Linked DNA regions of Cricetulus griseus. The protein of the gene in region 4 interacts with the protein of the main gene of each other region in a pairwise test. Links are inferred from orthologs where the notes say so. Each region holds a gene or a part of one and is shown on either strand. Other genes may lie near its edges.

Region 1 (3,964 bases), about 200 Mb from region 4:
TATATATATATATATATTCATTCCTTGGATAAGATAGGAGCGCAAGAGGGCCAACTCCTAGCTGAGAAGCAACTGGCAGTTGACAGCTTGACAGCTGCTCATCTGGCTGGGGATTGGAGGCTAGTTTTCTTCAGATGTGACTCCTGGTAGGTTGCCCATGCTCCAGTGGTTGGCCCTATACCCATGCACAGATTGGCAGCACCATGTGGACTCAGTGAGTTAAAAAAAAGGAGTACATAAACTTGGAATGGAGACGTGGCAGTGTATGATAGGAGTTGAAGGGGAGAGAGTAGGGGGTGTATTTGATTAAAGCACATTGTATATAAGTATGAAATTGTTAAATAAGTAAAAATGTATTTTTAAATGTACATGCTTTGTTTCACCTTGAATTAACTGAACAACTGGAGTTGGACTTACTACAAACCACATGCCCTAGTTTAATTTCTGTCATAAAACACCCTGACTAAAAGCAACTCAGTGGAGAAAGAGAGTATTTTAACTCAAAATTCCAGATGCCATCCATTTCTGGGAAGTCATGGCAAGAACTTGAAGCAGCCACATCCTTAGTCAAGAGCAGAGAGAGAATGCATGCAAGCATGTTTGCTCATGCTCAGTCCTCTCTCCACACTTCTACAGTCCAGGCCCCAAACCCAGAATGGGTGGGTCTTTTCATTTCAATTAATACAACCTAAGCAATTCCCACAGATATGCCCACAAGCTAAGTAATCTAAGTGATCCTTCATCAAGATGACCTTCCGAGAATATGCTACCTTGGGTGAATCGGTTAAAAAAATTAGCTATTGCACCACAGTGTCTCCTTAGGAAGATCAAACAGTGTCAGGAAAACTTCAACCAGTTGCTCATTCCACCAGGGTTCTCCAGGAAAAGGATTTTCCCCATAAATCAAAGGTCCCTTCTGTTAGGTTTGCAGTTTAGGAAGGTGGCGCTTAGAAGCAGAGAGAAAATATGACCTAAATAGATTTAAATTATCCTTTGACAATGGGCTGGACAAACAAAAGCACTTAGCAGAATGTGAAAGAATATAGGGCTAAGCTATATAACTAACCCTAAATGGCAAAGCAACTGTCGCTTAACTGCGCAATGTCTTAACAAAGCAGTTCTCAGCAAAGATGTTGTCAACATCATTCATTAATCTCTGGATCTTCTCCTGTTCTTCCAAGACCCCAACTGATTTTCATCTCAACTTCATAGCCTTCACAAGACTTCAAAGAATTTCACAAACAATTTAGGTCTTTACAAAAATACCCACTCAGGAACACCACGTGTGACCACTTCATTATAATCTGCCAACCTCACAAAACTGCCCTCTGCTCGCCTATTCTCGGGCTTCACACGTGTATTCTGATTGTCCTGGTAGAAAGTAAGCCCCAGGAAAGCTCAGGTTTTGTTCTTTCCTAGAAGTCTGCTGCCTGGAACAGTGCCTCATGTGTGCTAAGAGTTCTCAGTAAGTGTTTTCTCGTTGTACAAATGGGTATAAGATATACCAAGAACAGGGGTCAGTCGTTGAGAAATGACGCGTCTCTCCCTCCTACTTTTAACCCAAGTCTTCACTTGAGGTTAAAATGTAAAATAAACCTCGGCATAACATTTCTAGACTGCTTACCCAACAACATTTATCCAACAACAACAAAAAGCTAATGTTTCACTTTTAATTCTCAACTTGCTACCAAGTATTTTTAACAAGAGCTGTTAAGAGGACAGGTAAGCAAAGCCCATGTGACTCTTATTAACTAATAAGAAAGCAAAGCAAAGTTTAATACTTAACTAGAAAGTACAGTGCGAAATTTCCAAAGCTGCCTGTTTTGTGTGTATTTGTTTTGGCTTTTTTGTTTTGTTGCTACTGTTGTTACTGTTTTCTAAACCCCAATTGCAATCCCTTCACCAAAGACAGCAAACCTCAAGAACACATGCCTAAGCAATCCTGACCTCTTGGGCCCCAAATTCCATCACAAAGGATCGTTTGTTGCGACCCTGACCCCAGAAACCTTTCTCAAACATTTTACACACCAATCAACCTGCAGAGACCGGGGTGGGGGTGGGGGTGGGGGTGCAACCTACTGCATTCCAGCATTTCACACACTCAGCAAAGGAACCCCCCACCTCCTGGCTCTAGGCATGCCCCCCAGTCAACTCCACCATCAAAGTCTGGTACAGGGAGGTATAATAGGGAAGGCAGGGACCTCTCAGCAAGGCCAAAATTGGAGGACATCTTAGACTTCAGACCCTGGATCTGCCAATTCTCTGTGACCTTGGGCGTGTCGCTGGAGCCTTGGGGTTTGCGTTCTCTCACCTTTAAGGTGAAAACCACACCCGGACCGTGCCACATTAAGGAATGACTGAGGTCACAGGTGACGCTCCACGCAGGGCATCTGGCACGAGTGGGAGACTCACTCCCAATCCACGGCGCGGTGTCTCTCCCATCCTCCCCATGCTTCAGGGCCCTTCAGACTGGGCCAGTCGCCCAGTTCTGCAGACAAGCGCTCTGAGGGATAAAGAAGGGACTGGGGACTCGCAGGGACCGCCGAGGCATAGCTCATAACGCGGGCTCCCCCGACCCACGCCCGGGGCTGCTGCGCGAGATGCTGGGGGCTCCCCGGCTCGCCCGCGGGCTCTCCACCTGCCGCCCGGCCCCCCGCCGGCATCGCTGCACTCACTCTTCACTTTGCCGAAGGTGCCGACGCCCAGGGTGTCCCCCAGCACGTAATGCCCGATCTTCACCCTCCCGTCGTGCTTCTGCTTCTCAGCCATGTTCGGCGCACGGCCTCCCTCGGCCGCGGGCCCTCAGCGCCGCCGCCACCGCCGCCGCCGCCGCCTACCCACAGTGCAGCGGGCCCAGGGGGCGGGACGGGGACGCCGGGGGCGCCGGGCGCGGTGGGGCTGGCGAAGCCGGTGGGACGCAGAGCCCAGGCGCCCTGAGGAAAGCCCCAAGGAGTGCAGATGGGAGGGACGAATCTGAGCGCGACAGAGACGGAAGGAGAATCTGCAAAGAAGTGGGGGAGAGGGGGTGTGGACAGTGAGACTTCCCTCGGGGCAGGTGGGGTGGACGCTGGGGTGGGCGGCTCTCCTCTACCCCCCGGGATGCTCCTCCGGTCAAGGCTCGATTGTCTGGGGACGTTCTAGTCTGTACCCTCTCATAACTCACGCTTGTTTTGCAGTTCCTAGTCGTGTTATTGTTGGATCTCAAACCAAGGACAAATGGCTAACTGGGGCGCCTGTTAAATGATCAGAGGTGATGCTGGCCGCCAGGTTGTCCCAGCATCCCTCCATCTCCACCCTACAGTCCTCCTGGCTGGCCTACCCCGCCCCCTACCTTGAACTCTGCAGCCCTGGCTGCCACTTCCCCCAGCTCCTCTGGCCCCCATCTACCTCAGCCATTTTGGCTACATTGGTCCAGGCTCTTCTCTTGCTCTCCCTCCCCCCCCCTTTCTCCTCACGTGGTCCTGCTCAGTATGGCCCTGTTCACTCTGGACCCTCCCAGATGTCTCTGCCTTGCTTCTGCCGTTTTGTCCGCTTTTATTTACAATAAATCTTTCCCACTCTCTTAGGTTTTCTATTGCTGTAGGGGGGGAAATGACCAAAATGCAAGTTAGGGAGCAAAGGGTTTGTTCGCTTTACACTTCCACAACATTGTTCATCATCAAAGTCAGGGCAGGAACCTGAAGGCAGGAGCTGATGCAGAGGCCATGAAGGAGTGCTGCTTACTAGCTTGATTCCCATGGCTTGCTGAGCCTGGTTTTTTTTTTTTTTTTTGGGGGGGGGGGGGGTTTCGAGACAGGGTTTCTCTGTGTAGCTTTGGAGCCTATCCTGGCACTCGCTCTGGAGACCAGGCTGGCCTCGAACTCACAGAGATCAGCCTGCCTCTGCCTCCCGAGTGCTGGGATTAAAGGCATGCGCCTCTAATGCCCGGGGGAGCCTGCTTTTTTATAGAAACCAGGACCACCTG
Region 2 (4,098 bases), on a different chromosome or scaffold from region 4:
GTCTGTGTTAGTCACGTGCAGGCAAGTAACTAGAGCAGGCCGTTATTTCTGGTTGTCTGAGGAACTGGAGGTGTGGAGGGAAGCAAATAGACTTTAATTGGGGGGGGGGGGCTGGGAGAGAGTGGTGGCCGTAGCTCTGGAGCTCTGGGGCAAGAAAGTACCTCACTACCCACCGAGAAGGAACTGAGCCTCACTCCCACGGCCCGGTGCTTCCTGCCCAAGCCGGCCAGGTACTCCTCCAGTGAAGACAGGTCCTCCACGTTGGTCACTGCAGCATCAATTACCAGCATCACCTGTCAAGGACACAGAGAGTCCAGCACAAACCTACCTGCTTACCACCACAGCCTAGGACCTAGGCTACTCAACCAAGGAGGCTTTTAGAATGCTGTTGTCCAGAATCAAATGTGGTAGGCAGCCAATGTCTGTATACAGTAGGCGCTCAGTATGTGGTGGCTCGGACTACCGAAATTCCACCCATGAAGCCCTTCTCTTTTGAGGATCTCAGAACCTGTGACATACCTGTAGAACAATACTGCCTGCATGGGACAAGAATAGACTGAGGTGTTGTGGAGATCATGAGCCCAGCCTAGTTTTCATAGGCAGGTAGTTCCCAGTGGTCAAGATCCACCCATACAAGCCACGGGAGCCAGAGGACAAGACTGAGAGCTATGTACCAGGCTGGGTCCAGCTGGCTTGAGGACAGGGTTGGGTCCAATCCAGCGAGGCGGGAATGGTGTGTGTGTGTGTGTGTGTGTGTGTGTGCGTGCGTGCGTGCGTGCGTGCGTGCGTGCGTGCGTGCGTGCGTGCGTGCGTGCGTGCGTGTGTGTGTGTGTGTGTGTGTGTGTGTGTAAGCTGCTTCCTATATCAAGTCCTTTCTTCCCAACCAAGACAATGTTCTACAGATCTGAGCCCTCATAGCTCTGCCTCCCTCACCTTCCTAATGTGGTCCAGGAATTCTGGGGAGGAGAGACAGTCCTCAGGGCTGGAGAACTGGCGGCCATTGTACTGGAAGAGAGGCAGCAGGCTGGGTTCCAGGGTGAAGAGCCTGTGGGTTGGGAGCAGCGGTCATCAGCACTGAGCATCGACCCAGCAGAACCTGACTGCTCAGAAGAAAGCCACGGTACATTCCTAACTGGGCCCTGCCAGCTTAGTCAACGTCCCCTCCAGAGGACACTTGTCCCCAGCCTCTCTCATTACCTGGCAGATGGTAGCTCCTCCCTAAACAACTGAGGGGCTGGGTTTGGGACAGGCAGGAATCTCAAACCAAAATCTAGGGGGAAATTTCCCTTTTGGATCAAAATTCCCCAATGCCCTCAGATCTGAGGCTTGTATGGGTGATGCCATGTACACACTCTATGTACTACTGAGCTTTAAGCATTTGTCAGTTAACTGTGGTTGTGTGTCCCTCATACTTTTAAGCAGTGGGTTCAGAAGAGAAAACAGAAGCTCAGAGAGTCTAAGCAAGCTGCCTAAGTTACACAGTAAAGCCACAGTGGGCACCAGAGTGTGTGTGGTGGTGGTGGTGGAGGGGAGTTGGGGGCAAGATGGGAGGGGGAGTTTGAAAAAAAATACAGTTGGCCCAACCAGAAAATGTCAGCCTCACTGGGAAGAGCTTGCATTTTTGTGTAACTCTTTTGTGTAAATTAATTTATTCCCCTTCCATCTTGGAGAGGTTTTGCCAAAAAGTCTTGCTCCGAAGTTTTGGACTGGCCTAGGGATCTGCGATGAGAGGGGGAGTGCGGCTCTTTGGTGATGGCTTAAAACCAGCCGTTCTCCTCCTGTTAGGCCTGTTCCTTCTCCCTCTCTTACTGGTGGTGAGACTGGACGCCTATCGCCCCTCTCCTGGAGCACCTCTGGTCCTAAGCCTGTGTTGTCCTCAGAAGGGTTCATCTTGCTGGTGGCTGGGTGTGAGCTCTCCTGGGACAGGACGATGTGGCCTCCTACTCGAAGGTGGATGGGTGGGCACGGGAGTCCATCCCACGGATCTAGGTGCCTGCACACCCCAGCTGGCCTTCGGGGGCTCATCTCCTCCTACTGGCCCGGCCCCTGTGGGCAGTCCTGCAGTCACTCCCCATTAAGATATCACAGAGTAGAGCAGGGAGCACTGCATCTACCCGCCTGCTCTGTGGGTGCGGGTGAGGAACCCCACCGGCCCCCAATCAGTTCGGGTGGGAGCCGCTATCTGGGAAGAGCAGATGGGACAGCACCACCTGTCGCTACACACACACCCCTCTCTCCCGGGAGCACCACTGCAAGCGGGCCCGTTTCTCTTCCTCTGGCGACAAGCCCAGCAATCTCAAGCCCACTGCTGCCAGGCACCCCTCCACTCGTGCCCGGTAGCACTCACCTGGAGAACAGGACAGTGCCATGTTCCAGAGGGCTGCGGCTCACCGCCTGCCAGCTCTGCCGGATCAGCTCGGGCTCTGGGAGCTCCATGATCTCTCCGGAGAGATGCGGGAAACCGGGATGGGACCCTCGGGGCTTGGGCGCAATCACCTCACGTGCAGCGCCATCTCCGTGCTGGCGACGCGGGGTGGTGGTGGGGGAGTTCCAGGCCCAGTGCCTTGGTCGGGAGGGGGCCAACAATCGCTCCTTCGCTGGTCCAGCCGAAAGGATGCGCACCCACTGCCGCTTCCGGGGACCCCGCTCGGGCAGCTGCGCCCTGTGCCCCGAAGCTCCCAGAGAACCGCCCTTTAAAGCTACGGTGGTTCCCACCCCCTAGGCTTAGCGCTCCCTCTGTACCCGCCTTAGGCAGGGACGACCCGAGGCCTGGGAATTGTCCAGGCTTCAGAGCCTAAGAGAAATTGTTCAGCCTCTGGGCTTGTTTCACTCTTGAAAGCTAGCAATGCTACTACTTTGCTGGCCTAGTGGCATGTGCATGCAACCTTAGTGTTGAGAGACAGACTGGAGCAGGAAGACAGAGAGGGTGAAACCAGCCTGGGCTACATAGATTGCCTCACTCCCCTTCAATAATAAATAATCCTGTTTCTGAGGGAAGAGGCCGGAGGCCCAGTGTTCAAGGTGAGTTCCACCTCCCCACTGGAAATCTCTTGGGCTTGCCTTCTCCTGGGCTCATGGTCTGTGCTCACAATCCCCGAGTTCAGCTAGCTGGACCCAGGTCACCAAATTGGTCTGTCTGTCTGTCCTCTGCTCAAGCCCTGGGTCTGACTGGGGCACCTGAACAACTTTGGGCCTACAAAGGCTCTCAGTTTAAGGAACAGAGCCAAGTCATAACTATCTCAAGCCAAGAATGGAATCCCTCTCGGGAATAACTGGAAATGCACGGAGTTAAAGTCATAGTCTGTCATTCCACGATCTACTGAAACTCATGACAAAAAACCCAAAACACATGAACAAACCCCCAAACCCTCCAAAACCAAGGGCTTGGAAGATGGTTCAGGGGGCATCTTTGGGTTTGAACCCCAGCACTCAGATTAAAAACAAAATGAAAATGATGGTTCATAGCTTTAATCCCAGCAGTGGGGAGGCAGAATCATGTGGATCTCTGTGACTTGGAGGCCAGTCTGGTCTACATAATGAGTTTTAGGGCAGTCAGGGCTATGTAGAGAGACACTGTCTCAAAGGAAAGAAAAAAAAAGAGGGAGGTAGGAGGGAGAGGCCAGGTGACTGTAATACTAGCACTGAGAAGGTGGAAAACCAGAGTTTCTGGAGCTAGCTAGCCAGTTCAGTGAGCTCCAGGTTCAGTAAGAGACTATCTCAAACAATTAGTTGGGGTGCCTGAGAAAGACACATAAATCAATACTCTTTTCTAAAAGTGGCTAAGCTAAGTCCTGTGCTTGCCATCAGAGTGCTGCTGGCCACCTGTCAGTTAGCAATGTTGTTCTCTTTCAAGCATGGAAGTTCTTTGACCCCAGCCCAGTTTCACTGGTTCAGGTATTGGAGAGCACCCTCCCTTTATCTTTTACTGTTGACTCTAACTGCATCCTCAGATGTGCTGTAAGGGTTTGGGCAGCAAGGTCTTCAGAGTTTTTTGTTGCATGGATATAAATCAGTGTCCTTGGTCTTGGGTTATCAACAGACTGTAGCCCCATGGGCAATCCTGTGCTAGTTGTGCTCAGTCCCATGCCTTCTAAAAGG
Region 3 (3,500 bases), about 120 Mb from region 4:
TTTTAGTTTTTCCTCATCAGTGGAAAAAATGTAGTACGAGATATGTTAAATAAACATCTTTTCCAACTTACAAGAAAGCAATCTAGAACTAAGGAGAACAGAAGCCAAGACTTTATCAGATATATCTGTCCCTGTGAGAGTGCAGAGAGGAGCAGAGAGTGAGGGGCTACTTTCTATAGGATACAGAGGCACAAAGGTCAAAACTTCCTCAGATGAAGTCATGGCTACAGCAAAATTGAGAGAACTAGGAATTTTACATTTCTCCCAAAGCTGATTCTCAGGTAGTCACACCCAATTAAATATTTCAAAACATGTCCTTAGTCACTGCTATCATCGTCATCATCATCATCAGATACGTCATTTAAAGGAGACTTCAATGACTGGCTGTAAGAGTCTGATCTAGTCGGCTGACCCGAAGACATGTCCCCAGTGGAAAGCAGGTCATAGCAGAAGTCACATATCCGCACAGGCTTAGAAGACTGGTTGGGAAGAAGAAATCTCTTTTCAGAGCAGGGACCACAAACAACAAAGCCACATTTTCGGCAGTGGTGCCGCCGATTAACTGGCGTGAACTTTGCCTTCTGACAGCGCATACACACAGTGGCCTCAGAGTCAGGAACCCAGACAGCAGCATGCTCACTACTCGGTGTCTTCCCACTTTTGGAGAGTAAATCGGTGACACACTTATTTATGTGGTTCATCCACTCTGACTTCTCGGTGGCAGTGGCAGCATACACTGCAAACGATTTAGTTGGTGTCTTAATAAGCCATCCATTCCGTAATTCTCCTTCATCTTTAATGGAATCAATGGTGACATTTTCCAAGGGAATAATGTGTTGTTTGTTGTATTTTTTCTTCTGGATGACAATGTTGCCGTATACAAGAATATCATTAAACAGGAAAAACTGCCTTGCTTTAGGCTTCTTTCTGCACAGCTTAGTCAATACTCCCTCTCCGATAAGGACCCGTCCAGGGATGGTTAAGGGTTGACCAGCGGCTCCAAAACAGTTCTCCACTATACTTATTCGTCTAGTATTTGCTTCACTGTTTGCTAGGCGATCCACCATTTTTTGCTAATAACCTTTAGGGAAAAAAAGAAAAAGAAATTACACACAGAAATAATAAATTCCTACAAGAAAAAAAAATTTAATCTACTAAGACATTGCTTTTTCCAAAGGCAAATATTCCAATATTCTTTCCTTCTAAAACAAATCACTAAGCATACTACATCTTCATTGTTTACAGTAATCCAAACTTCTACCCCTCCACAAAACACAATCCTAGTCACACAACTATTACAAAGGCTGTAGAAACATGTGGCCTAGATCACAGTCCTCCTGCCTCTACTTCCCAAGCTCAGACTACAACTATGTGCCATCATGGTCAGCACAAGTAAAAACAACAGGAAAATTAACATGTTACTTCTGCAAAATAATAAACCCAGTTCCATGAAATTGAATCTCAATGGGATGCTGGAGAACAGAAGCCTACACACTTAAATAACATGGCCACTCTTTTCCCAATAAAATGCATGTGTCCCCTGAGCTGAGGCTCTAATTTCCTTTCCTGGATTATTCCCAACTGTTTCTCAACATGCTCTCCTGCTTCCAGATTTCCCTTCTAAACCAACACTTAGGCATTGCAAAATTGACCGGTTGTTACTTGAAACGATTCCCCTTAATCTTTAATACAATAAAGTTTAGCATATAGTGTGTAAGGCCCTTAATTACCTGGTAGGTTTTTTTTTTTTTTTAAAGATTTATTTTATTTATTTATTATGTCTTCTGCCTGCTGCCAGCAGAGGGCACCAGATCTCATTCAAGGTGGTTGTGAGCCACCATGTGGTTGCTGGGAATTGAACTCAGGACCTTCGGAAGAACAGTCAGTGCTCTTAACCGCTGAGCCATCTCTCCAGCCCAGGTTTTTGTTTTTAATTGTTTTGTTTTTGAGACAGGATATCACACTATGTACCTCAGGTTGGCCCTGCACTTGCCATCCCTCTACCCTAGACCCCTAAGCACTGGAATGACAGGCATGTGTCACCACATCCAGCTATTACCAGGTTTTTGTTCTCTCCAACCTCAACCTAAGTCATTCCCTGCCTAAAACACAGTATTTGAAGAAAACATTACAATGTATAAGTGCCTTTCACTGTTGTCTTCCTTACTATTCACAACTTCAGCTTTCTAAATCTTAGTTAGCATCTCTCTTCCCGTACATTTTCCTATGCTAGACAAAATCAGAAATACTAACAGCAGCAAAAATCCATCCTCTATGTTTGTCATATTCTATATAATTCTTAGCTTTCTTTTTACCAAAGGACTGAAATCCATGCCCTCCATTGGCTGCAGTGAAACCAGAATGGCCCTCTGATAGCCATCTTTAAACTGACATGATCTGAAGTACCAAATGTACAAGATAAACAAGAACATTTTTAACAACTTTAATGATCATAGATCTAATCTCTAGGTCCAATATTGAGCTCTCTCAAGTCCCTGAACGGTGTTCTATTTCAATCACTAACCTAGTACTACTACACTAACAAACACATTGAAGAATACCAAGGTTTGAAAGGGAACTATTTAAAGACAAACACAGCTGTCCTCAACTCACCAACTGACAATACTGTAACCCTTCTGACTATTCCTGAAACTCTGTTCCCTTTCACCAAGAGGAACACTGGCATGTCCTAGGGTACTCCCAACAGTGAAGGAGACAATGAATGGCTTCAAACCTTGAAGGTCTTAACTAAGTGACCAGTCCTCTACAGCTGTCCCTGTCTCTCTCCACTCCCTCTTTTGAGACTAGTACCACAACTCAGTGACACAGTGCTTCCCTAGCCCACACAAGGCATGGGCTCCACCTCCAGCTCCTTAAGGAAAACAAAAAGTCTACTAACTTATGAAGAATATGCCAAAGAAGGGTCAGTGAGTAAAGGTTCTTGCCACCAAACCGGGTGTCCTGAGTTCAAGCCCCAGGGTGCACAAGGTAGGAGGACTGACTACCACCCAAAGTCCTCTGATCTCTACAAGCACACCTTGATAAGCAAGGTATCTACAAGCATGTGTGCACCCCCACACTAAAAAGTAAATCACAGAATTAAAATGACATGAAAAGCCCAACCTCATTTATAATTAAAGCCATTAAAATACTAAGATACTTTTATCAGATTGACAAAAAGAAAAAAGAAAAGAAAAAGGAAATGCCTAAGATGTAGTATGTGTAACAGTGTAGGGCAACAGGTACCTTTGCACTTTATAGAAAACAAGTAAAACCATCAATGCAATATCCAACCAAAAGAAACTTTGAAACAGTGAGACAGCACAATGGGTAAAGACACTTGCCAATGAGCCTAACAAACTGACTTCCATCTCAGGGACCCAAAGGAGCTGACTTGTGACTTTCTTGCATAGATCTACCCACCCACACAAATAAAACAGATTTTGAAAAATAAATTTGACTCAGTGCATGAAAATACATACAGAATATTCAGCATAGTA
Region 4 (3,980 bases):
ATTTAAGAGTTTTATTTTCTGAAACGACTTCAAGGAACATTCCTTTAGTGAAAAAAAAATTCAATCAAGAATAATCTTACTTACATTTTAGGGGAAGGGTTTTTAATATGGAATTTCCTTCTGTGATATATTTAAATTCTAGGCCTCAGGCAACAATAGCAGAGAAAGGCCCCTGTACCCTTCATTAGATGCAAAGCAAACAGTACATGCTGGGGGAGGAGCCTTCCTTTACTTCCCCACTGCTTTTCCTCTTCCCTCAGCGAAGTGCTAGGCTTGCCTCACCATCTCAGAAATCGCTTCTTTTTTCCCCTCTTTCCCTTCATAGCCAACTCTACTGTTGGTGTCAACATATTTATCGCAACTTTAAAGACTTCGAATTATTTTGTCTACCCCTAAACCTTGTAGGAAAGGGGGACCGCCAACTCCCCCAAAGCCAGTGTGCAGAAAACTGTCAATATCGAAATACAATACTAGCTTGATCCAGATTTGACGCGCTGACAAAGGCAGGGTTTGCTATTTAGGAGAGCTCAGCCATCTTGACTGAGTACATTAGGCGGGCGGTCCCGTCTTATTACCTAGGCACTTTACCAGGGATTTCTAAGTTGAGGCAGAACTCCCAGCGTCCCTTAGAACAGAGGCCTAACCCAGTGGAGCTGTCAATACAGATAGCATTTAGGATGCGGAACGAACGCGCAAGTTTCGGACTTTTATTATGCATTCTTCCAGTCTCGAAAAGGGCAAATTAAACTCCGTGCACGCTTAGAACTTTATTTCTTAATTTTCTTGACCTGTGGCATGTATTCAGCCCCTGGGTAGCAACGGTGTGAGCCCAGGGCCCACTCTTTAATGGCTGAATGCACACATTTAACCAGCACATGGTGGATTCGCTGCTCTGAGAATTGCCTTAGAAAAAAAGTAAAGTGCAAAAGCAGACAAAGAAATCTATAACCTTCTCAGTCTTTCCCCATTTGTTCGGGCCGTTCTTTGACCCAGCTCGGAAGCAGCAGCGACGAGGATCGCGAAGAGATGCACCTGAACCAGTGTCTGCGGGCGGCTGCCTGGGCCGAGCCGCTCAATCGCTGCTTTCCAGCGGCGAAGGCGCAGCAGCAGTAACAGGGAAGCCAGCGCGAGCCTCCCCGGCGGCGGCGGCGGCGGCGCGGCGGCGGCAGCACCGGCACCAGCGCAGTTTCCCCTCTCCCCAGCCCTGACTCTACGCGCACATGCGCACTGCGCCCGCAGCCCTGGACCATTTGTCAGGACTACTCGTGAGACGGAGAAAAAAAAAAGAGAAAATTTGGGGGTAAGAAGCGGCTGATCGGATCTAATCTCTAATTAATCCGCAGCTCGGCCCGTGCCAGAGCCATTCATTGATTTTTTTCTGGGTGAGGATGAAAGTTCAGAGAGCTAGAGAGGGAAGGAAGCGCACCCTCGTCTTGGGAAAGAGATCAGGGGAGGGGAAGGAGAGAAGGGGTTTCTCCCCCACTTCTCTGCGCCTCTGGGAAAGAGGAGAAAACTTAATCCCGGGGAAAAAAAGTGGGCAAGTGAGTCGGAAGCGGCTGGAGGGGGAGTCTGTGGGCATCTCACTCTGAAGTAGTGAGTGCGAGTGCGAAAGAGGAACAAAAGAGAGAGAAAAGAGAAAGGAAAAAATGGGGGGAGGAGAGACTTGTATTTTTTCCTCCTTTTGCGCGCACACGGGGAAGGGTGTGGGGGGCCGTGCGGAAGGGAGCGGGCCGAGGCGGCCGCGTCTGGCCGTCGCCGGCGCGCAGGCGGCGGGATGCGTGTGGGCCCCCTCCCCCGCGCCCCCCCCCCCGCTCCGAGCTTGTCACTTTGGTCGCTTTTTTGACACCGGGCGCGCGGGCGGCGGTGGGGGGAGCGCGGCGCCGCGGGGCTGCGTGTCCGGGGCGGCGCTGGGGGGGGGGTGGGGGGGGGAACGCGGAGGAGCCGCAGCCTCCCCGGGAGGCGCCGAGAGCGGTCGGGCCCCGAGGCAGGGGGGGGGCTCCGGCTTCGGGAGGGGAACCGTGGGCACGATCGCAGTGGCGACTCGGTGCGGCGGCGGCGGGAGGACGCGAGCCCCGGCGCGCCGCCCCTGCGGCCCCCTCCGCCCGTGTGGCCTTTGTGCCGGGCGCGCACCGGGAGAGCGAGCGAGCGAGCGAGCGAGCGCGAGAAGTCCAAGTACGGGAGACCGAGGCAGTGGGAAAAGAGGCCGCGCCACTTTGCTTTCCCGGCTCGGCTGCGGAGAGAGAACGGACTGGTTGAATGTGGCATCGGCGCGTCTCGCCGGCGCGGCCGTGTGTGTCTGTGTACGTGTGTCTGTGTGTCGGGGTGTGTGTCTGTGTGTCGGGATGTGTGTGTGTGTGAGTGTGTGTGTGTGTGTGTGAGTGTGAGCGCGCGCCGAGAGGCCTCCGCGACTCGCACCGCGCACACGCACCCGCACACGCACGCACACCCGAGCCGCGGCAGGGCCAGCGGCCGAGAGTTTGCGTGTGCTCTCCCGCTCGCCACCTCCCCCGCTCGCCGCCGCCGCCGACGACTGTGGGAGAATTTCCTAGAGATCGCCTCCAATTTCCGCCATTTTGGGAAAGTTGCACGGAAAAAAAAAAAAAAAAGAAATAAAGCCTCCGCTTGATTTTTTTTTTTCTTTTTCCTGCCGGAGGCTGGAAAGTGCTTTTCAAGGAGAGCGCGGCCGGCGGCGCGGGCCCGACACCGGCGTCCCCGCGGGAGGAGGGCGCGGGCCGGGCCCGGCACCCGCGCCGTCGCGGCGGCGTTCTTCTCGGTGCAGCGCCGCCGGTGCGGGCGTGCGAGGCGAGCGAGGCGAGGCGGCGGCTGCGGCGGGGGCCGCGGCGCCTGCAACTTGTTTACGCCGCCCGCGGTGGCCGAGGCCGGCGAGCCGGGTCCGCCTCGCGCGCCGCGTGCGTGCGCCCCGCCGTTCTGCGCTCATGGGCTGCTGGCTGGTCCCGGCTCGCGTCCTGGGCCCGGCGGGGCCGGCCTCGCGCGGCGGCGGCGGCGCGGCGGGGCGGGGGGAAGTAGAGGCCGGCGGGGGTGGGGATCGGGAAGCGCAGGAGCGGAGGCATCCGCCGCGCGCCCCGCCAGCCGCCGACCGGAGGAGGAGGCAAACTTGAGAGAGAGAGAGCGCCGGGCCGAGGGGCGCGCTGGCGGAGGGAAAACTTTAATCGGTTCCTGAGGGTGGAAAAAAAAAAAAAAACCGAACAAACCAAAAAAGACAACAACAAAAAAAAGGGGGGGGGTCTGGGATCCGAACCCCGCGATCGCGGCCCACCGCGCGACCGTGAGAGAAAGTTGACCGGTCGGGCGGCTAGCTCCGCGCCCGGCCCGCGCGAGGCAGAGGTTTCTGTCTGTCCGTCCGTGCTCCGTGATAGCCGGGGTGGGAGATCCAGCCGCACTGCCGGGTCGCGTGGGTCAGGGCTCTTGCCCCACCCTTCCACGGGGACACGAAGGTAAACGTCGCTTTGGTTTCCCTTCTCTGTCCTCCTGCAGCCACCGCCCAGCTTCCTTTTCCTCCTCTTTCCCCGCTGATTTTTCTTCTTTTTTTTTTAGGGGGGGGGACCCGAAAAACGGAGTCTCTTTCCTTATGCAACTTCCTCGGGCGCCGTTTGCACGGCCTTCTCCCCCCCCCCCCCACCCCTTTCTGCTCTGCCCGGCGGCCGCTCCTTTGCCACCTCGGGGCCACTGCCAGAAACATGCATTTGAGATCACCCCAAGTGCCCAGGAACAAAAATACATTTTAAAAAATTGTTCTAAGTTAAGGGAAACTGATCCGAGAAATAAAAGCGTGTGTGTGTGTGTGTGTAAGTATGTGTGTGCTGAATTTTCATTTCGATTTTCGTAGATGGTTGGTTGTGATGTCTTTATTGGTGTGGGGAGCCCAGGAAGCTCTGTACTGGCTACCTCGGTCGCGTGGATTTTTGCGCAAGTTTTTAGAAAAACACTGACTCGAGTAGAGAGCATTTCTCCGGAAAGTT
Region 5 (3,500 bases), on a different chromosome or scaffold from region 4:
CAAACAGACAGGATTATACCTATGGCCCACTTGTGCCTGGCTGTCTCCCCTGACCTGCCCTGGGTCATCCACCAGGGTAACCCAGCTAGAGGCAAAGGGTGCTCCGTGTGCTCCTTGAACAGCAGAAGCAGCCAGCTTCAGAAGGAAAGGACACAAATACCAGAACTGCTGCAACAGCAGTATGATCCTGCCCCCATGAATAAAAAGTTCTGTGGGGTGGAGGGCTCTGAGTTCATCAGATGGATCTGTCTTTCTGGCCAGTCATCAAACTATATGCTTTTATATGCCATTAATGGTTTCAAGTATGTCTTCAGACACATGTGGTCATACATGTGCACATGCATGCACGTACATATAAGGCACACATCTGTTCACAGACACCTCATCAGCTCTACTAAACCCCTAGAATGCTCTACTAAACTCCTATGGTGTCTGGTGTTTCTGGCTACCAAAGCAAGCTCTTATCCTCAGGCCTCTGTGGGTAAACCAGCATGGACAATAGCAGTTATGTGGCAGCTTCTATAAGTAAGCCTGGACTCACAATGTGTGGCATCGTCTAACTTGCTGTAGGTTCTCAAAAGGCCAGATACCTGTGTGGCAATCAGGTCCTGCCTGCTGTCCAGAGCTCTAACCTGACTCTTCTTCTCATGGTCCCTGGAAAACACTGGTCAGGCCACCCACATCTCCCGACAAGAAACACTTACAAACCTGGATCATCTCATTTCCAGCAGGCAGATCAAGTGTGTCTCCTCCCAGAGGCCAAAGCTGGGAGGGATTAGCCTGGGCCACTGAGTCACCGCTGACAGGAATGGGATTCTGGCACAGGCCCCACGACTGGAAGAGATCAGAATGGGGGCTATAGGCTTGGCAGTGACATGTCAAGCCACAGATCCCACCTTGTGGGGAAGAGGTAGGAAAAAGGGGAGGTGCTGGCACACTGTGGCTGCCTGGTTTGCTATCTCCTGGGAACTCAGAAGCCAGGCTGCCTTTGGAAACCCCAAGTCAGCAGTTGTAACATAACCACAATTTCCCAATCATGTTACATTTTAACAAGATTCCTCCATAATGAGTCTAAGGTAACTGTAGCTGCTTTTAAGGATACTTCTGCAATCATGGAACCTGTTTCCCAGAAAGCTCTGCCTGTGCAGAAAGCAGCACCCTCCCTGCTCAGCACCCCAATAGTGCTATCCTGCCAACATTGCCAATAAAACCATTTTCTGTATGAAACATGAAGCGGGTTAAATCTGAGGTGGTGGACTGTAAGAAAATCTGAATTTGCAATATTAAGACAAAGGTGTAACTTGACCAATCATTCAATGAATGGAAGCAAGATTCTCATCTGGACAAAACTTAGGAAGTTACAGCTTTCAAAGACAAGAGCTACCAGGCCTGGTTTGCAAACTGTCTCCCAGTGAGAAAGCTGTGGGGCCTAGACCCTGGCTATGGGATCCGTCCAAGTCCATTTCAACTGTGTGGAAGAACTGGTGAGCTCTCATCTTGGCTGGCTTCTGTGAAGAAGAAACTTGAAGATCAACATTCATGTCAAGGGTGCCATCACCATGATCACAGGGAGGGCACTTGCCTGGGAATGCCTGGCCATACCTGAATTGCCCGGTTCTGGCCATGCTTCTTGGGCCTGTCCCTGTATGGTTCTGGTCCACACTCAAGACTTATCATCCTAGTGACCAGTTCTTCTCCAGCAACAGGAGCAGACATGCAAATGTTCTGCTGTGTGGGCCCTTCCTGAACCTGCCTCCAGCACCAGAGGGAAAGCTCCAAGGCACCTCCCAGGCAGTTACCAAAACAAATACCTTTTAGCATTATCAGCATGATGGCTAATAATCCTAGCACTTGATAGGGAGAAGCAGGAGATCAGGAGTTCAAAGCCAGCCTTAACTACTTAAGTGAGTTGGAGGTCAGCCAGAGCTGTATGAGACCACAACAACCCAAGTATGGTTTCAAGGGAAATGCTACTCCAGGGAAAGGACAGCCATGAGGAGGACTGATACAGGAAGAGCCAGCTGGGTGGGCATGGGCTGTTTACCCCAAGAACTTCTTTGAAACACTATAGCCCAGGATAGCTGTCAGGGCAAGGAAGATGACATCTGGCATCTATCCTTACAAACAAGACTGAGGAAGGTCCCAGCAACACTAGAACACTTTCTGTGACTGACTCAAGCACCCAACAGGTATCTACTACAAATGTTGGATGGAAATATGTGCTGCACGTGCTCCGCCTTGTTTAGAGTACCTGTCACAGCACTGTGCAAGAGTAGTGCAGGTGTACTGCAGTGAGCACAGGAAGGCCTGATACACTCCCTAAGCCAACCACATCCTGGTCTCTGGCATGTCCTGGCAGTGCTTCAAGAGAATAATGCAAGTTGGGGTTTGGCTTTAATGTTAAGTTGGTGGTGGATAAAAACCTTAAAGTCAAATCCCAGCTTTAGGATAGCAAAGATGAGTTTGTGTTGGGTATCCAGGGCACATTTTGGCTGCCCAAGAAGACCAACTACTCAGTCTTTTTGGAGGAATCTCTGCTGCTGTAGGCAATAATCTGGCTGACATGAGCCCTGGGCTACAAAAGGAATGCAGCAATGCAGGCCACCATGGTATGGCACACAGAGGCAAGTTTCCACTTATCTCCTAATAATGAACTTTCAGTTCCTTCACTCTTCCTGCCTACTTTGCATCTGGAACGGAGCCCTGATCTGCAGGTTCTCCAAACAGGCGCTGGAATGTGGAAATGTCTGACAGTAGTGAAGTGAGTGCTGGCTCCCAGGCCAATAGCCAGACCCATCACCTCCAGGCAGCCAACTCCAGCTAGCCTGCAGCTGACCTCCAATGGACTTCCCAAGGGATAGCACAGTACTAACAGGCCAGAGACAGGGACAGGAAGCAGGCATGTGCTATAGTCTCAGCTTCACTGGTAGCAACTCCCTTAACACATTTTTGAAGCACTGCGAATTTTTCAGACATATGAAAAAATGGCAGAGGGCAAGAGTTTGGAGCGGGGCACTCAGAGAACCTGGGAGCACTGTGCTTTGGAGCACACACCATCTGGTTTTCCTCCATCCACTACCAATTCTGAAGCTCTACTTAAAACCCAACTGAGATAATGCAAAACTGGTGCAAACCCTAAAATAAATGCAAGAAGCCCCAGGACCTTTCAGCAGTATCTGCATATGAAACTGAATCCCACCAAGAATCTATTAGGAAGCAAAACCAAAGTAAAACAAAGGGAAACATTTGTGCCAGGGGCAGACACTGAGTCGTGTTGATTAGTGTGAGGCCAGCCTGGCCCACAGCTGCAGGAAAAGCCTAAGAAGCTTCAACTTGTTTCTCTTACTCACTTGATTCATCCAAACAAGGGTCTTTTCCCAACCTCAAAGGGTAGTTTTCTCTAGAACAGTGAGGTGCTAGAAAGACAACTATTCAATCACTGACTGGCCCAGACAGCAACCATCCACAAACTTTTCATACATACACACATTCCCATGACA
Region 6 (4,293 bases), on a different chromosome or scaffold from region 4:
GCATCCCAGAGGCAGGTGGATCTCTATGAGGTCAAGGCCAGCCAGAGCTACCTAATGAGATCCTGTCTCCAAACAAAGGTGGTGGAGGTGGAGAGTCAGGCTTGGTACATATGTGTCATAAGCCCCTAGTCCTTGGTTTGTTTGTTTGTTTCAGACAGTTTTACAATGTATCCTAGGCTGATCTAGAATTTACTAACCTCCTGCCTCGGTCTTCCAAGTGTTGAGATCATACATATGAGCCACAATACTCACTTTAAAAAATTTGTTTTCCCAACATATGTTTTGAACTTTTTATACTGACCCAGAGTTGTAAAAATACAAGCAGAGAAGGCCTGTTTCTGTATAAGCCACAAACTGAGAGTGGTTTGCCCATTTTTGTTTGTTATGTTTTGTTTTGTTTTTTAAGTCAAGGTTTCTCTGTGTAACTCTGCCCTGGAACTCACTCTGTAGCTGGCCTCGAACTCACAAAGATCTGCCTGCCTCTGCCTTCTGAGTGCTGATATTAAAGTCATGCACTACAACACCCACCTTAAAGATTTATGTATAATTTCATGTGTAAAAGTGTTTAACTGAAGTTACAGGCTGCTGTGAGCCATCCAAACCAGGATCCTCTGTGAAAGCAGCAAATGCTCTTAACCTCTAAGCCACTTCTCCAGTCCCCAGCACGTACATTTTTAAGGGGTTAGAATGCAAATACAAAAGAAGGAAGAATGTTTTATAACATTTTAAGAAAGTTATAGGAAATTCAATATCAGTGTGCATATCACCGCTTGTTTCCATGTTTCCCGAGGCTGCTTTCACTCTGCAGGGGTGGTCCCAGACACCCCTTTGCTAAGCCCCAAATACTTACTGTTTGAACCCTTTTTGCAGAAAGTCTGCAAACCCCTGACTCAGATTTACCAGATATTAAATGTCTTTTGTGTGGTTCTGAGATGGAACCCAGGGCTTTGCAGAAAAGCATTACACGGCCAAGACCCTTCTCCAGGTCTTCAAGGATTAAGATTATCTGTTGTTTCTACCCTTAAGTATGTTAGTATGTTAGTGGGGTTTTTTTGTTTTTGGTTTTTTTTGTTTGTTTGTTTTTCTGGGATGGAACCCAGGCCAGGTCCTTTACCCAGCCCTCTGCTTCTTGAGCCAGTCACAGGAAATTGCAGCCTCGGAGTGAGAAGAGACAAGATAATGAAGAGTTAGGTACACTATGCTTAGTGTGTAGACAGAACTCAATAAACAAGGCAATGAAAATTCCAGGCATTTTTTTCACACGGGTTTTGAAAAAAGAAGAAAAGAAACTAGCTTGGGCCTGCTGAGCCTGAGACTTTGCTCACTCCCTGGTTCCTGCAGTCTGGAAACCAGCTTTTCCCAGAAAGGATTTTTAGCCAAAGAGGCAGAAAAGGCCTCCAGGAAACTTCATTTTTTCCACAGCTTATGGCTTGGCTGACTCAACTTCTGCCCTCCCCTGAGTCACAAGTTTGTCCTCTTCCTTGGAGGAGGGTGGGAGCCTTCATTCAGTCTCCCCACCCACAGTCAGGCCTCGATGGGAAGGGGTGGGTAGCTGGATGGTTCCTTTATGCTGCTTCAGGGGATTCCCCACCCTTCCACTCTGCTGGATGAGATCCTGGGGCTAGAAGGAGACAGTTGAGACTGAGTTCTTAGTGGGCCCTGAATCACCGGTGGAACAAAGCTGGAGGCGTTTCCTGGCTCCAGAATCACAGGTAATTCCTTACTCTGGTCTTTTAGACTCCCCTTCTTTAGGCAGCCACTCTGTGCCAGAGTGTGCCGCTGTGTGGGATGCCAAGATGCCATCATAAACAAGACTGCTCTGCCTTCCAGGGACCCACCCTCATCCTAGCCACCTCCGTGTCTCCCTGAAAAGTCCACCCTTTCGAAGGAGGGGAGAGGGGAGACCAGGGGATTGAGGCAGCCATGAAACACGACCTTGCAGACTAAAGACCTCTCCTCATAAGCGGTGCGTGTACTTGGAATGGCATTTTCAGTACCCTACCTGAGTTTCTCGGTGGGACTGGAACCACTGCCTCTGTTGAAAAGCAGACTCGTCACTTGTGCCCACAGGGGAGATGAAAGGGAGCAGAGAGCCCCGCGTGTCTGCCTGCTAACCCCACATGTAGGCTCATCACCCGCGAAAGGCATGCCTATCTAAAAACAAGAGTGATCTAACCGCTTTCATGCCATTCACAAAGGAAGCATCTTACTTTCAACTTTTACAATATCCTGTTCCAAAGCCCCCAAACGTACCGGAAGTTCTGTAGTCACTGGCCCAAACTCGTGGGTTCTGAGAATAGCAAAGCCTCCCATCCGATCAACCCCCACGACAGCCACCTTCAGACAGTGGTCTCTGATGTCCTCACACCACCCCCCAACCCCGCGCCCAAATTCTTCAGCTATTTAAACCTAAAGTTGTATCAGTGCTCCAAAGATAGACTTGGGACGTCACAGAACCCTTTTATCTGTGAATGAAAAAAAAAAAATGAAATGAGGACATGACTCTGCTCGCTGTGGTGGAGGAGGAGTTTATTGCAGGGATGTAGATATTGTAAATATGAGGAGAGGCATAGGCAGAGGCGTCTGGAAAAGTCCAGAGTGAAATGGGAAACGGCCGGCAGGCTGAAATGAGCCGTGTGGGAAGAGGGGCCAAGGGAGATCGGAGAGTCAGAAGCCAAAATGCCAGGAAAGCAGAACAAAGAGCAGTTGCCTAGAGACAGTAGGAAGCCCAGCCCCAGTCCTTGGGCTGGAGAGTTATAGGTGGGGTATGCAAGCCAGGATGACTCTGTAACAGAACCTAAGAAATGCTGGAGAACCTGGCAGCCAGCGTCTGCTTTGAAATGGTAAATAGGCACCCCGGGGTAACCCCTCATCTGGAATTTGAGTTTTTTTTTTTTTTTTAAGATTCATTTATTTGAGGCTTTTGGATTTTTTTAATTAATTTATTTATTATGTGTACAGTATTCAGTCTGCACCCCAGAAGAGGGTGCCAGATCTCACTATAGATGGTTGTGAGCCCCCATGTGGTTACTGGGAATTGAACTCAGGACCTCTGGAAGAGCAGCCAGTCTGCTCTTAACCTCTGAGCCATCTCTCCAGGCCTGGGATTTGAGATTTAACAACCCGTTCTCCCCAATACCCCCTCTTCCTTGCACTCATGTTTCTCACTGATGAATGGGGACTGGTGGGAACTCAGAGCCAGGCTTTGGTCCTAAAACTCTAGTAACAGTTAGAACCTAGCCTGTGGGACTTCAGACACTGTCTTTTTTCCACACGGTGGAGAGTTTGGGTACATCACCAGTCAGAAATCCAACTGGGATATATCCATGGGTAGGGGAGGCCTGGAGTAAAGCCATAGAGTGGTGGTCGGTGGTGAATGGAAGAGCATGAGCCCCCCATGTGACCGGGACGGTGAGCTGTGGAGAAGTAGACCCGTATCCCCAAATCCCCCTGCCTCAGCTTCCTGAGATCACAGGCAGGTGCCACCAGGCCCCCAAGTCTTAGGCTAAAAATCAGAGCTGGCGATACAGCTCATTGACGCTGCACTTATCTAGGATGTGAGGCCTTGAGTTCAAATCCCAGTACTGGTTGGGTGAGGGCATAGAGGGAACTTTTTAAAAGTCTCAAATTTTATGTGAATTCTGCCAATCTGAAATGTTCACAGCGGCGCATTTTGTAAATGTTTAAACAAATTTCAGGCCAAAAAGGCTGGAACTAGCTCCTGTAGACCAGGATGGTCTGGAACTCACAGAGATCCACCTGCCTCCGCCTCCGCCTGCTGGGATTAAAGGTGTGAGCCACCACTGCTCCGCAGGAAATGTTCTTCAAGTGTGGCTACTTAATAAATGCTGACAGGCTGCGGGTGGGGTGGTGAATGACGGCAGGGATTTGGTAGAGACTAAGGGGCCGAAGGCTGGAGACCCAGTTAGGTAAAACTCTTGTCTTTACAACAACCAACCAACCAACGAAATGGGCGAGGTAGAGAACTGGTGCTTTGGGGCCAAGAAGACCTCTCTGAGGAGCTGACATTGAAACGGCGAAGGAGGGGGGAGTGGAACCAGCCCAGGGGTTTTGAGGAACCGGAAGAAGACGGTGGGAGAGTATGTGCGTGGGCGCAGGTGACAGAGGAAGGCCGGCTGGGACCTGAGTTCTGAGTGTGCACCGCAGCTAGGGTGGGCTGTGAGAGGGGAACGTGGGGCCGCTAAACCCAGCGATCTCCTCCCGGGTTTTTGACATTTTCCCCAGGGAAACGTTTGTAAAGTTCGGTCGATCATCAGTAAAAGGCGTGTCATC
Region 7 (3,500 bases), on a different chromosome or scaffold from region 4:
CCTTTGTCTTTTTCTGCTTTTGACATGGGATCTCACTAACTTGGCCAGGCAGCCTTGAACCTGTGACCTTAAGGCCCATCCTTCAGAGTACCTGTACCACCAGGCCTGGCTTACATGCATTGTTCCTCAGAAACGCTTTCCCCCTTTACCTGTGGGTGTCTTTCTCCTTGTATTTCTTGACAAATCTGCAGGGCTTTCTCATACATCCTCTGTGCTTGCGATAGCTGCTTGGAGAAGAGCAGGTAGCGTGCACAAGAATCTAAGCACATGCCAAGGAGGAGGTAGGTATTGGCTTTCTCTTCCACTAAGAGAGAAATAAAAGCATGAGAATGAAACAGTTATTTACAAAGGTGAAAAAAAAAAAAAAAAAGCCAATCAACTTCTTCATTGTGGCCACCAGGTTCCACTGAATGTCTCCGGTCACTTAGGTAAACTCCTAACTACAGGAAACTGTTTGAATGAACCAATTAAATAACAAAAAAAAAAAAAAAAAAAAGACAAATTAGGCTGTCTGAAATCATGGAACACCCTACCCCCATTCTGAATAAAGAGTTCACAGATCAATTCAAATATTGAATATTTTAAAACTGGAAACTAGTAATCAAATGATTAAGTAGCTGGGGTTGGTGGAGCACACCTTTAATCCCAGCACTCAGGAGGCAGAAGCAGGTAGATCCCTGTTAGTCTGAGGCCAGCCTGGTCTACAGAGTGAGTTCCAGGACAGCCAGGGCTGTTACATAAGAAAACAATGCAGTAAGAAACCAAGAATACTTGGAATTCTGAAATGGTCTCAAGTCAAATTTAATCTCAAACCAAATTTAAAGGACATAAGCCAATTGCCCAAGAATAAGGGCTGGGCTGTGAACTGACTTCAAACTTCATACCTCTGATACCACACGAAGAGCATGAGGCTGCAGATCTAGAAAACAGGGCCTAGTATCAGCTTTACAAGACCTCAGAATAATGTAGGAGACATGATGAGTGAGAATAATTCCAAGCTCACAAAGAACTAGAAACAGGCTGCTTGATGGGTGTTTTTCCTATAGCCTAGATTGGCCTCAAACTTCTATAAATCCTATCTCAGCCTTCCAAGGATAAAGATACAGGCATGAGCAACCAGTCTTGGCTTATTAGCTAATTTTAGGCATGAAAACTATCAGACAGCACCTGAAGATGTTCACTTAAATTTACCAGCAGAGCTATCATTCCTTCTCCATCTTCTAAGGTTTTCAGGAAATTGACAAATGGCATACAAAATGTTAAAAATAGTATGTTACTAAGTAACACTATGATCAGTTACTGAAGAGATAGTTCAAATAAAACAATGCAGCTGTGGTGGATGAGCATAGTCATCTGAGTAATGAAATAGTGAGAGTTAAAAAAAATGAAGTTTAAAAAGCACAAATCTAAAATAATTTGCTTAATTATAAAAGGTCAATAATAGGCTGGGCAATGGTGGTGCACACCTTTAATCCCAACACTCATGAGGCAGAGACAGGTGGATCTCTATGGTTTGAGCCCAGCCTGGTCTACAGAGCGAATTCCAGGACAGCCTTTGAAGCTACAGAGGAACCCTGTCTCAAAAAAACAAACAAAAGTCAATAACAACTTTTGAGGGCAAGGCTAGATAGAGCTCTTTTGGTAGAAAGATTGCCTATTTTCCATGAAGCCCTGTGTTCATCCCCAGCATAGTACAGTCTGGGTTTGATAGCACACACCTATAATCCAAGCACTTGGAAGTGGAGGTCAGAGAATAAGGAGAGTCACCCTCAGCTACGTAGTGAGGTTAGCATGGAAGTCATGAAACCTTGTCTCATATACTGAAGTAGGGAGTGATTTGGAGAGATGGCCCAGTAGCTAAGAGTGTATGCTGGACAAGTATGAAGACTGGAGTTCTAATGCCAGAACCCAAGAGAAAAACTTGGGGCATGGCCATACATGCAACCCTCCCATTCCCACCCTCACCTCCCTTCCTTCCCTGAGACAGGCCTACAGCTTGCAAACCTCCTGAATGCTGGGATTACAGACATGTCCTACCATGCCCAGCTAAACTTTCTTTAAATGTTTCTGTGTTGTCTAAATAGTCTTTTTAGATCATACAACTATAAAATACATCAAAATAACTTTAAAAGACCAGACAGAGAACTGGGCACTTGCCTAGCATGTGCAAGGCTCTGAATCCTATACCAAACAAGCATATGATAAGCCATAAAAATAAAAGAACAAAGTGACAAGCAATTCTAGGGCAAAGTGATTACTGTTACACGTAAAGGAGAGGGGGCAGAAAGTACAACTAATGAGGTAAAATGCTTGGAATATTTTCTAAAAAATGTTTTAAAAATACATTTTACATTCATGACACATTCTGAGTTCCCAGCACCCACACTGGGCAGCTCACTCCAGCTCCAAGTGATCAATACCCTCTTCTAGAATCTGAGGGCACCTAAAAAATCACATGCACATAACTAGACACAGACATGTATGTGTGTGTGTGTACATACACAATTATACATCACACACATGTACACACATACACATGCATGCACACAATTAAAAATAAAGCAAATCAGAACTGGAGAGAGGGCACAGTGGTTAAGAGAGGGCACAGTGGTTGAGAGCACTGGCTGCTCTTGCAGAGGACCCAGGTTTGGTTCCTAGCCTCCATATGGTGGCTCACAACCAGCCATAACTCCAGTCCCAGGAATGTGGAGCTTTTTTTCTGGCCTCTCCAGACACCAGGCATACAAACAGTACACTTACTTAAATACAGGACAGTCATACATATAAAATTAAATAAATCTTTTTAAACGTGAATAAATTAGCCAGGCAGTGGTGGCACATGCCTTTAGTCCCAGCACTCGGGAGGCAAAGGCAGGCAGATCTCTGTGAGTCCGAGACCAGCCTCGTCTACTAGTTTCAGGACAGCTTCCAAAGTCACAGAGAAACTCTGTCTTGAAAAAAAAAGAAAGAAAAAAGAAAAAAAAGTGAACAAATTAAATAATAAAGCTTTAAAGATGTGAAGGAGGGGATGTGGGGTCCTGAAGTCTGCAATCATGGCTCAAGAAGAGGAAGATGGTAGAGATTACAATTTGATGGAGGAACAGAAGGCGATCAAGGACAAGTATCTTCCAGCCAATCAAAAGTATGAATATTTGGATCATACAGCTGATGTCCAGTTGTATGCATGGGGAGATACTCTGGAGGAAGCATTTGAACAGTGTGCCATGGCCATGTTTGGTCACATGATAGAAACTAAAACTGTGAAACCCCTCCAAACAGTAGAAGTAGAAACCCAGGGAGATGACTTACAGCCTCTACTGTTCCACTTTTTGGATGAGTGGCTTTACAAGTTCAGTGCTGATGAATACTTCATACCCTGGGAAGTGAAAGTACTTAATATTGATCAAAAAAATTTCAAGTTACGGTCAACTGGGTGAGAAGAATTTTCATTGTCCAAGCATCATCCTCAGGGAACAGAAGTCAAAACAATAACATACTCA

The links.
Region 1: the proteins of L3mbtl3 (region 4) and Prkaa2 interact in binary tests that used the Homo sapiens proteins (3 or more experiments, as listed by UniProt). The two-hybrid records come from large-scale screens. The link is inferred for Cricetulus griseus from reciprocal best matches to the Homo sapiens genes L3MBTL3 and PRKAA2.
Region 2: the proteins of L3mbtl3 (region 4) and Ngb interact in binary tests that used the Homo sapiens proteins (3 or more experiments, as listed by UniProt). The two-hybrid records come from large-scale screens. The link is inferred for Cricetulus griseus from reciprocal best matches to the Homo sapiens genes L3MBTL3 and NGB.
Region 3: the proteins of L3mbtl3 (region 4) and pleckstrin homology domain-containing family F member 2 interact in binary tests that used the Homo sapiens proteins (3 or more experiments, as listed by UniProt). The two-hybrid records come from large-scale screens. The link is inferred for Cricetulus griseus from reciprocal best matches to the Homo sapiens genes L3MBTL3 and PLEKHF2.
Region 5: the proteins of L3mbtl3 (region 4) and Banp interact in binary tests that used the Homo sapiens proteins (3 or more experiments, as listed by UniProt). The two-hybrid records come from large-scale screens. The link is inferred for Cricetulus griseus from reciprocal best matches to the Homo sapiens genes L3MBTL3 and BANP.
Region 6: the proteins of L3mbtl3 (region 4) and pleckstrin homology domain-containing family F member 1 interact in binary tests that used the Homo sapiens proteins (3 or more experiments, as listed by UniProt). The two-hybrid records come from large-scale screens. The link is inferred for Cricetulus griseus from reciprocal best matches to the Homo sapiens genes L3MBTL3 and PLEKHF1.
Region 7: the proteins of L3mbtl3 (region 4) and Ttc19 interact in binary tests that used the Homo sapiens proteins (3 or more experiments, as listed by UniProt). The two-hybrid records come from large-scale screens. The link is inferred for Cricetulus griseus from reciprocal best matches to the Homo sapiens genes L3MBTL3 and TTC19.

Annotation. Positions count from the first base shown.
Region 1 is NC_048595.1:44,756,433-44,760,396, reverse strand, and holds the start of Prkaa2 (5'-AMP-activated protein kinase catalytic subunit alpha-2), read right to left. Parts: upstream 2,801-3,964; 5' UTR 2,770-2,800; coding exon 2,676-2,769; intron 1-2,675. UniProt on the Homo sapiens protein: Catalytic subunit of AMP-activated protein kinase (AMPK), an energy sensor protein kinase that plays a key role in regulating cellular energy metabolism.
Region 2 is NC_048598.1:116,694,512-116,698,609, reverse strand, and holds the start of Ngb (neuroglobin), read right to left. Parts: upstream 2,801-4,098; 5' UTR 2,437-2,800; coding exon 2,348-2,436; intron 1,046-2,347; coding exon 934-1,045; intron 294-933; coding exon 162-293; intron 1-161. UniProt on the Homo sapiens protein: Monomeric globin with a bis-histidyl six-coordinate heme-iron atom through which it can bind dioxygen, carbon monoxide and nitric oxide.
Region 3 is NC_048595.1:125,116,670-125,120,169, forward strand, and holds part of pleckstrin homology domain-containing family F member 2, read right to left. Parts: intron 1,082-3,500; 5' UTR 1,068-1,081; coding exon 318-1,067; 3' UTR 1-317. UniProt on the Homo sapiens protein: May play a role in early endosome fusion upstream of RAB5, hence regulating receptor trafficking and fluid-phase transport. Enhances cellular sensitivity to TNF-induced apoptosis.
Region 4 is NC_048595.1:245,423,326-245,427,305, reverse strand, and holds the start of L3mbtl3 (lethal(3)malignant brain tumor-like protein 3), read left to right. Parts: upstream 1-1,180; 5' UTR 1,181-1,300; intron 1,301-2,012; exon of another isoform or gene 2,013-2,172; intron 2,173-3,264; exon of another isoform or gene 3,265-3,455; intron 3,456-3,980. UniProt on the Homo sapiens protein: Is a negative regulator of Notch target genes expression, required for RBPJ-mediated transcriptional repression. It recruits KDM1A to Notch-responsive elements and promotes KDM1A-mediated H3K4me demethylation.
Region 5 is NC_048596.1:198,654,727-198,658,226, reverse strand, and holds part of Banp (protein BANP), read right to left. Parts: intron 835-3,500; coding exon 709-834; intron 1-708. UniProt on the Homo sapiens protein: Controls V(D)J recombination during T-cell development by repressing T-cell receptor (TCR) beta enhancer function. Binds to scaffold/matrix attachment region beta (S/MARbeta), an ATC-rich DNA sequence located upstream of the TCR beta enhancer.
Region 6 is NC_048602.1:117,578-121,870, forward strand, and holds the start of pleckstrin homology domain-containing family F member 1, read left to right. Parts: upstream 1-1,493; 5' UTR 1,494-1,712; intron 1,713-1,830; 5' UTR 1,831-1,966; intron 1,967-4,293. UniProt on the Homo sapiens protein: May induce apoptosis through the lysosomal-mitochondrial pathway. Translocates to the lysosome initiating the permeabilization of lysosomal membrane (LMP) and resulting in the release of CTSD and CTSL to the cytoplasm.
Region 7 is NC_048600.1:76,325,106-76,328,605, reverse strand, and holds part of Ttc19 (tetratricopeptide repeat protein 19, mitochondrial), read right to left. Parts: intron 3,460-3,500; exon of another isoform or gene 3,438-3,459; coding exon of another isoform or gene 3,054-3,437; exon of another isoform or gene 3,018-3,053; intron 305-3,017; coding exon 150-304; intron 1-149. Other genes in the region: protein archease-like, read left to right, coding at 3,054-3,437. UniProt on the Homo sapiens protein: Required for the preservation of the structural and functional integrity of mitochondrial respiratory complex III by allowing the physiological turnover of the Rieske protein UQCRFS1.